2 linked regions of the Coturnix japonica genome follow. The protein of the gene in region 2 interacts with the protein of the main gene of each other region in a biochemical or structural test. Links are inferred from orthologs where the notes say so. Each region holds a gene or a part of one and is shown on either strand. Other genes may lie near its edges.

Evidence for each region. The genes of interacting proteins can lie anywhere in the genome.
Region 1: the proteins of CAV1 (region 2) and PTGS2 form a complex in vitro, tested with the Homo sapiens proteins (2 studies listed by BioGRID). The link is inferred for Coturnix japonica from reciprocal best matches to the Homo sapiens genes CAV1 and PTGS2.

What each region holds. Positions count from the first base shown.
Region 1 is NC_029523.1:8,952,666-8,957,023, reverse strand, and holds the start of PTGS2 (prostaglandin G/H synthase 2), read right to left. Parts: upstream 3,113-4,358; 5' UTR 2,993-3,112; coding exon 2,941-2,992; intron 2,541-2,940; coding exon 2,424-2,540; intron 2,317-2,423; coding exon 2,173-2,316; intron 1,679-2,172; coding exon 1,535-1,678; intron 1,130-1,534; coding exon 948-1,129; intron 154-947; coding exon 70-153; intron 1-69. UniProt on the Homo sapiens protein: Dual cyclooxygenase and peroxidase in the biosynthesis pathway of prostanoids, a class of C20 oxylipins mainly derived from arachidonate ((5Z,8Z,11Z,14Z)-eicosatetraenoate, AA, C20:4(n-6)), with a particular role in the inflammatory response.
Region 2 is NC_029516.1:22,500,237-22,504,587, forward strand, and holds the start of CAV1 (caveolin-1), read right to left. Parts: upstream 3,112-4,351; 5' UTR 2,962-3,111; coding exon 2,932-2,961; intron 2,347-2,931; coding exon 2,182-2,346; intron 1-2,181. UniProt on the Homo sapiens protein: May act as a scaffolding protein within caveolar membranes. Forms a stable heterooligomeric complex with CAV2 that targets to lipid rafts and drives caveolae formation. Mediates the recruitment of CAVIN proteins (CAVIN1/2/3/4) to the caveolae.

The sequences.
Region 1 (4,358 bases), on a different chromosome or scaffold from region 2:
TAGCGCCAACTTTAGGCAAGCTATGCTGTAAAATAAGAGCTAATTTTAAGGAATTAATGTAAGACATACCTGGTACTTTAGTTTTCCATCCTTGCGAAGTCTTAACTTAAGTTGTCTCTCCAGGGTCTCTCCATAAATGTGGTTCAAGTCAACCTGTAAAATAATATTGAGAACATGAAGACAAGATACATTTTTTCCTATTTTAGGACAGGTCCTATTTCTAACAGATGATCTGGCATCCACAGATGTTTACCTTGTGATTACAGTACTGTTACCTTATAAGTATCACACACTGATATTTAAGATGAAGCCAAATTATTTCCTGGCAACTGCAGCAATCTCTGCATTAAGTTTTTAAATCAGACTGGCAATTTAGGAGGACTCTGTTTAGAGTGTCAATGGCATTTTATTAAGCAGACAGCTCTTTATATATACAGAGATGTTACAGATCTGTTTTAGACATGCACGTTATATTTATATGGACAATTTCTTTACCCCAAAACTGTCTTTTTGCAGATAAATATCTTAAAATCTAAATTTGCTTTTCAAGTTCTTCTAAAACTGCCTAATTAGCAGCACAAAACAAAATACTGTACAAAGCATCTCCATCAGTTGCGGAAGGAGTCCAGAATAGTTCTAAATACCCATTGCATCTAGCACGCTTTAGGTAAGAAGCAGATTCTTTGAAGAAATCACAGTCCTCACTCTACAGAGATCTTAAGCAGAATTATGTTCTTGGTACAGACATTTCTGACCTAAGAGGTGCTAACATGTTGCTGGATTTTTGCCCAAAGAGCAGCCACATAAGGTCAAAAATTTCTTGCTGTGTTGCACAGCATATCCACGAGTGTCTGCACATCCTGACTACCTGTAAAATATCATTCTAAGTGCTTGGTAGCTCCTAAGAGCTTTAGCACTGCGTTCAAGTTCCAAAGCTATGATCTTACCCCATGGCCATAAGCTTTAGTGAAGCCAGGTCCTTTCTTATGGTCTGTCTTGAAGAACTGGTGGGTGAAATGCTGGGCAAAGAAAGCGAACATCACGTTTGTGCCTTGTGGGTCAGGAATAAATTTTCTTCGCAGCAAGAATTTCTCCACAATCAGCTTTGAATCTGGGAGCTCTTTCTTACCTAGAAGAAGAGTTTTCTTATAGCAAGATATTCATGGCAATTATGCTTAGTACTTATTTTTGCTCCTCACAACCAAATACGTTTCCCATTTTCAAATCTCTAACAAAGAATAGCAGCTTACTAACAAGGGGAACTATCTTCTTTTTGTTTGTTATAGTCACAGTTTTCCCATGCTTACATTTTTGAATTTATTAGAAGCTTTCTAATTCCTGGTTTTAGAACACAGTTCAATAATGAGTACCAGAATGGTTATCTTTTAGCTCATTACACAATCTATCTCATTTGTTGCTATTCTCAAAGCCAACAGTGCATTAAGATGTAGACGAGATCTGTTGGTGTTTTCTAGGACAAAAAGATAAATGAAAACCCTGGAAATGAACACAAGGTATCTGTTTTATTCCTTACCTTTAACACCCATCGGTGTTGGACAGTCATGTCCTATTGGTGGAAGGCTTCTTGTGTAATAGGAAAGATTGGAATAAGCTTCCCAGGATTTGTAATTATAGTCACTATTGTATGTTGGTGGGCTGTCAATCAAGTGTGATCTTGCTGGAAGAAAAAAAAAAATATAAATATATATATGTGTGTGTGTGTGTATTTGGCATATATTAATATATGGAGACTAAGAAGTACAAGAAGTCCATCAAGAAGTACTAGATGGTTTCCCTGTACTTCTGGCAGCCATTGCATCCACAAACTCCACACGCATAATCCCATTTAACTTCAGTAACTTATGGCTACTAAATAATACAAATAAGTCCCAGTTACCAGATGGATCCAGCTACCAAATTTATAACAAATGGGGCAGGTTGCATTAGCAAAATTTGAGTCAGTATTTAAGATAAGGAAAAAAATGCATTTGTCTGAATGCTTATTTCATACCAAGCATAAATACCCTTAGATCCTAAGTTCCCTTTGGAGTGCTTTTCCCATAACATATTTTAGCTTGCTGTTTTATCAGTAAACTAATCAAATAGGGAATTTAAAGTCCTACACGTAGCTCCTGTCAGTTAGAAGTACTGCAAGCATGAAAGTATACTTACACGTCAACACGTATCTCATAATAGTATCTCGTAAGAAGGAAATATTGTTGATGATGTTCCAGACTCCTTTGAAGTGAGTGAGAATGTAGTGGACAGTATTTGGCGTAGGTTTCAGTGTTAGTTTCAGCCACGTGAAGAATTCCGCTGTGAGCAAAGACAGAAAGATTTGAAGTCACTATTCATTATAACCTGCAATTCTGTAATTGAGTTCTCAGACTCCATTTCCATGCAGAGAGATCAGAGGTACTTACGTGTCGTACAGTTTTCCCCATAATAGCCAGTCCTTGTGCAGTCACATTCATACCGATCAAATCCTGTTGTCATGCACACACCTCTGTTCTGACACGGGAGGGAGCAGCAAGGGTTGGCTGGAATAAAATCAAACAGTTAAAAGAGCACCTTCTCTACTGGGTCAGCACTGCCCCTGTACTGCGTTGCATCTTAGGTGCATCAGTGCTCACAGGGCGGGCAGCAGAACGAGTTCCACACGCACGAGGCTCCGGGCAGCTCTGGGCAACACCAGTGACACAAGTTGGAAAGTGCACCGTGCGGGCTGCAACGAACCAGCTCCACACACAGTGGGGGTCCGACAGCCCCTCCTGCTGCACTGCCTTCGGAGCTATACGGTGCGTAAAGCGGAAGACCTGCGCTCCTGCTGTGAGCATCGCGGCGGGCCCGGCCCGCTGTCTTCTGTCTGGGAGCTCTCCGCGCCGCCGGGACGCAGAGCCAAAGCCGAAGTCCCCCGCCCCCATCGCGCCCCCCACTCACCTGCGTGGCCGGCAGCCAGGAGAGCGGCCAGCAATGCACAGGGTAGAAGCATATCCCGGCGAGCCTCTCTACTCTTTCCTCGCAGCTACAGAAATCCCAAGGACGCTGGAAATGGCAGAAATCCTACAGCAGGCAGGTACTCAACCTCATTTATACATCCCGCCGTGACTCACCCCTCTCCCCCCCCGGCCCGGAAACTAACGCAACGCGTGGGGGATTTCGCACGCCTTGCCCCGCCCCGGCCCGGCCCCCGCTCCCACCTGCTGCGCGCCGCGCTTCTGTGCGGGACGCGAGGGGGCGCTGGGGGAGAGCGCCGGGCTCGGGGCGGTGCGGAGCGGTGCGGGGCTGCTGCGAGGTGCCCCTGAGCCGTGAGCGAGCGGAGCGGGCGGCCAGGACACCGTGTGCTCCGGGCTCCCCCCGCCGGACGCCGCTGACCCCCCGCTGACCCGGCCTTGGAGAGTTCAATTTCGTTCGCTTCGTTCGCTTTCAATGAGGTCATCTGGGCAGTTTCTTTTGGTGAAGCGCGTTTCCTCACGCGAAGCAGCGCCTGTCACTGGACGTGGTGCTGCAGATGGATGCTGCGTGATGAGGCGGGTGTTCGGGCGTACTTCGCTTAGTTTTTGCACCTTTGCCATTCCCGTTATTAGGAATCTTACCTCAAAACGAGCAATGCTGGTGGTTTGTTTTTTTTTTCCCTTTCCTTTGCCTTACAATGCCCCTGCTGCAGAGCACGGCCACACTGTAAACAAATCTTAGCTCATTTCCTCCCAGCAGCGCGCAGACGGGATGCTTCTTGTCACAGATTTCTAACCCGCACACGTTACCTCTATTTTTACTCGTTGTTGCGCATGGAAGGTTACGAAACAGCAAGGACGAACGTTGTGGAGTTGTGTAAGGGCTGCACGGTGCTGGGCCCGCTGCTGCTTCCCCCGCCGCCTGCACACTCCGTGAGCTGAAAGCCATAATTGGGTCCATAACAATGCAGCTTGAGTTTTGAGGTGATGGTGTTTACATTGCAAATTGTTGCCTTGAGAAGGGATTTAGTCCGACTTAAACAAAATCTTATTTTTGACTCTGAAGAAACAGGCTGAATGATTTGTGCACACCAGTAATAGGTCATCCAAGATGTTTGAGAGAGCAGCGCACAAAGGTCTGTCATTGCGTGATTCTTCTGCAATAGCAAAAGGCACATCTGATTTTATGCTCACACACACGGAGATATGTGTAGGTGTCCATGCAAAGCACTGCTTTGCCTCAGCCACACATCTGGAGAGCAGTGTGGCTGCTGGGAGCCTGTCCCTGCGGGTTGAAGCAGGATGATGGAAAATAAGGGGATGGGGAATGGTTGTTTTTCCAAAGGGTGTCCTTCACCCTCATGTGTTGTTTTGGGACTGCTCGTAACCAAGATCTGATCACAT
Region 2 (4,351 bases):
GGAAGTATTTGAATGCAGCCAACACTGAGGCCTTTTAGAGAGCTGCTTACAGAGCAGATTCCTCATTCTCTGTCTAATCATTTCTATTTCATGGTTGACTGATTTGTCCCTATTTTCCATGCTATTGTGTCTCATAGTCAAGTGGCAAGAAATGCATAAAACTCTGGTTACAAAGCAGAAGGTTCTGAATCTAGAAAAAGGCAATGGCCCTACACAAAACTGAGTTACATCTGGGGCATGCTTCAGGCCTTAAAAAAAAAAAAAGAATGATTTCTTCTGTCTTCCAGTACGCCAAGACGCCTGTTACTCAGGTACATTTTTTACACTTTCTAGATAACATAATGGAAGAGGTCATAGACTAGTGGCTGAGGCAGGAACTGAATCTTTGCCTTCTCCTCAGTGAGAGTCTGCCCCCTAGGAACTGGATCTAAACTTTGCAGCTACTTCTAAGCTGAACCTGAAAGAAGTGTTCAAACTCAAAGTGTAGCAAAATTCCTTTCTGTATTGGTAGGGTTGGGTCTACCTACAAAATGCTTACAACAAATCAAAGTGATTCTTATTCATCCTTGTGAGAAGATGGGAAAATGTTGCTTTGAAATGTCCGCTTTGAAAAAAAAAAAAAAAAAAACAGAACAAAAAATGCCGCTGCTTTTAGGATGCAAAATGGATACTGTGTGGTTAACATTTATTCTGGCACATCACTGTGTCTTGATATGCTTCTGTGCACTACCAGGAACTCATGGATACAAGACATGGTACCGCTATTCTGGCTGCTTGCTGGTTCTTGATGAACACATTTGATGGTCCACAGTTATCTTGGAGGGACATACTGAAAAGCTTGATTTTTCCATTCCTAAGTTCTTATTCTTTAAAAGTCTTTTGGATTATTGAATCTACCGAGCTAACTTTCTTAATCATTGTTCCTAAAAGAGGCAGAGAAAGCAGGACAGGCTCTGCATGCCACTTCTTTTTTGTCCATTAGGAGTTTTTTCCACCAGCAGCCTGCATCTTGTCCCAGCAGGATCTTTATCCCCAGGCTAAGTCTGGACACTCAAATTCCGGCCTGCCTAGGGGCTGTGACTCATCCTTGGAAGGTTTGGTTGCTTTGGGGACTCCTTCTGTTGATGTACGCAATGAGCCACTAGGAAGCCTTGTTCTCCAGCTCCTACATTCCTGCTACCCAGCTGCTGGGTAGCAGATAAAAGGATTGTTCCCTCCTTCCTAACAGCAAGCACTTTAATGGAAGTTCTGTACCACTAGGAAGTGGTACAGTTGATTATTTTCCCCCTAAGCAAATGGAAACTTCATCCCTTTTCTTTCTAGATCTTGGACAATGGCCCTCTTAACAAAATAGACAGCCCAAATTCCAATTCTTGATCCAGCAACGTGGCCAGTCATACTCAGCACCTCTAAGCTCCTTAGAAGTCAGTGGGATTTGAGGTTACTCAAGACCTTTCTGCATTGTCCGCACATGGCACAAATCATACCCCTGACATACATTTAGGAACTGCTTTCCAATCATTTTACCCCCCCCAGAAACAATATAACATTCATCTTTTTTTAAGGCCAGGTCTTCCTGCTCTACAGCCCCATTGCTCAGGGAGCCCATGCCTGGCACTAAGCACTCCAGTGCCTTTCTCACTCACTGCAGCTGACTGGGCAGCCCTTGGCTTTGCTGGATCCTGGTAAGCTCAGGTGGCAGTGTCCCTGTTTTCACACAAACAGCATAAAATTCTCCCGCTAAAAGAAAACTCAGCCTCGTGATTTTTCTGACCAAAGCGAGTACAAGCAAAAGTGTCCGTCACTCCACATGTGTCAAAACTGTCCAAGTGAGTTAAACACCAGAAGAAAGACTCTAGAAAGGGACCCCGTCCGGTTTTGCCTGGCTTCCTTTACTCACTTCCCGACAGAGGGAAAAACTGCACGGAAACGAACACAAACCAAACCAAGCAAACGAACCCAAACCACCTCTGCAGCCGCTTGGCCGAGGGCGACCCATCCCGCTGCTCAGCCCGGCTGGAGCCGCCCGCACGAGGTCCGCAGCCTTGGGCACACGGCTCGGGGCAGCCGGGCTCAGAGCCTCCCCTCTCTTTTCAACGCCGAAAAGAAATCGTGAGCTGCTCCCTCCCTCCCGCAGCAGGTGGAGGAAAGCGGTCGTCCCGTCCCGGCCCGGCCACTCACCTTCACCACGTCGTCGTTGAGATGCTTGGGGTCTCGGTTGACCAGGTCGATCTCCTTGGTGTGCACGTCGTGCACCGCCTTCTCGCTCAGCTCGTCTGCCATCATCTTGTTATTGGGCTTGTAGATGTTGCCCTGTTCCCTGACGGGCGCCGCGTACAGAAAGCCCTGCGGGAGGGAGAGCGGCCGGGGGGCAGAGCCGGCGGGGAGGGATGGAGGGAGGGAAGGAGGGAAGGAGGCAGGGCGGGCTGGGGGCGGCCCCGGTCCCGCGGGGAGCGCGGTGCGAAGCGGCGGTCGGCAGCCCGGGCTATTTAACGGTGCGGCGGGGCTCTCACCACACCCCGCGCCCGACGCTACGTTCGCTCCCACGGCCGCCGCCAGGCGTCCCCGCCGCGCCCCCCACGCGCCACCCGGGTCGGGCACGGAGCGCTGCCACCCGCCCGACAAACAGCCCGCCCCGGGAGGCTGCTCTGCCCCGGCGCCGGAGCCGGAGCCGGTGCAGAGGGAAACCCCCGCGCTGCGCCCCGCGTGTCCCGCCTTCGGTTTGTGACCCTCACCGCGTGGCCTCGCCCTGCAGCCCCGGGGCAGCCCCCAATCCCCTGCCCGCCGTTCATCCCGTCCTGTCACGTCTCGTCCCATCCCGTCCCGTCCCGTTTTCCGCAACCCCGCTCCCCGTCCTGTCCCGTCCCGTCCCGTCCCGCCGCGCCGCGGAGCGCCGGCAGCAGCCCGAGTGCATCCCCCGGTTCGTCCTACCTCCGAGTCCACGTATTTGGTGCCAGACATGCTGTCCCGGCGCTGCCGCAGGTTGCTCTGCGCTCTAACTCTGAGCAGCGGAGGCAGGAGGATCCCGTTCGGCGGAGCGGCCGGCCAGGGGAAGGGAGGCGGCTGGCGGCCGGCCAGGAGCTGCTCCCCGCCTCGGGCCGGGGCTGATGACAAGCGGCGGAACGGCCCGGCATCGCGCAGCGCGCCCGGGAGCGGCCCGCGGTGGGAGGGGAAAGAGACCCGGCCTCGGAGACCTGCGGGAGAGCGGGCGGCCCCGGCTGCATGGGAAGCTGCGGCGACGGTGACAGCGACAGCAGCCGCAGCCACAACAACCGGGGCCACCCTGCCCTGCTCGAGCCGTCCCCTGGCAGCGGGTCCTCGCCGCTGGGATGCGGGGGGCGGCGGTGGCCGCGTGTGGCAGAGCCCCTGGGGATGGGGGGACGTGAAGGGGTGAGGAGATGGAAAACGAGCAGTGCTGCGTTGGTAGAGCCCCCCCCTCCTCTGACAATGGTCCACGCACTGTCCCGGGAGCGATCGTGGAAACTTGGACATCTTTGGGTTGAAGAAAAAGAGATTTTCTAAACTGGTTCACTTCAAAACTATGCAAATATTTGACAGTCCCGCACGCTAAATGTGCTGTATTTTTCCTGGGAGGACGCTGACCCATGTCTGCCATGCACGTTAACAGCTGGGACTTCACTCTGAGAGGTGCAGTGGGATGCCGGTGTTTGCGCTCTGTTCTCTGCCCCCTCCCAGCTCAGGCTGCCCACAGCCCCATCCAGCCTGGCCTTGAGAACCTCAGCGATGGGGCACCCACGGCTTCTCTGGGCAGCTGTAGCAGCGCCTCACTGCCCTCTGAGTAAAGAATTTCCTTCTAACATCTAACCTAAATCTTCCCTCTTGTAGTTTACAGCTATTCCCCTTGTCCTATCACTATCAGCCCAAGTAAAATTTCATCCCCTTTCTGCTTATAAGCTCCCCTCAAGTACTGAAAGGAAGATCTTGACCCGTTTATTCAGTATTACTGCATGTCTCAAGGATGACTAAAAATAGGAAATTTATTGGTTAATTTGAAACAGTAATGACTCCTGGAATGGTTTCTGCAGAACTTCAGCACCATTTGGAAGACGTTTCTGAATCATAGAACACTGCTACAGTTTAAAGAGATACTGGGAGCAGGAGGAATTGATAGGCTTCACGAGATGAATCCCAGCAGAGGAGCGAAGGAGCTCTGCAAAGAGCTGTGATGCTGTACAGAGGAGCAGGATAGCTCATGTGGAAAGGGCATGGCAAAGGCTTGCAGGAACCTTCTGAAAGCACAGAGCCTGTGCTCCATTCTTACCTGCTGTGAATGGATTATTCAGGAGTGGCCTAAAATTGCCACAGATCTCAGACACCCAACCAAACTTCT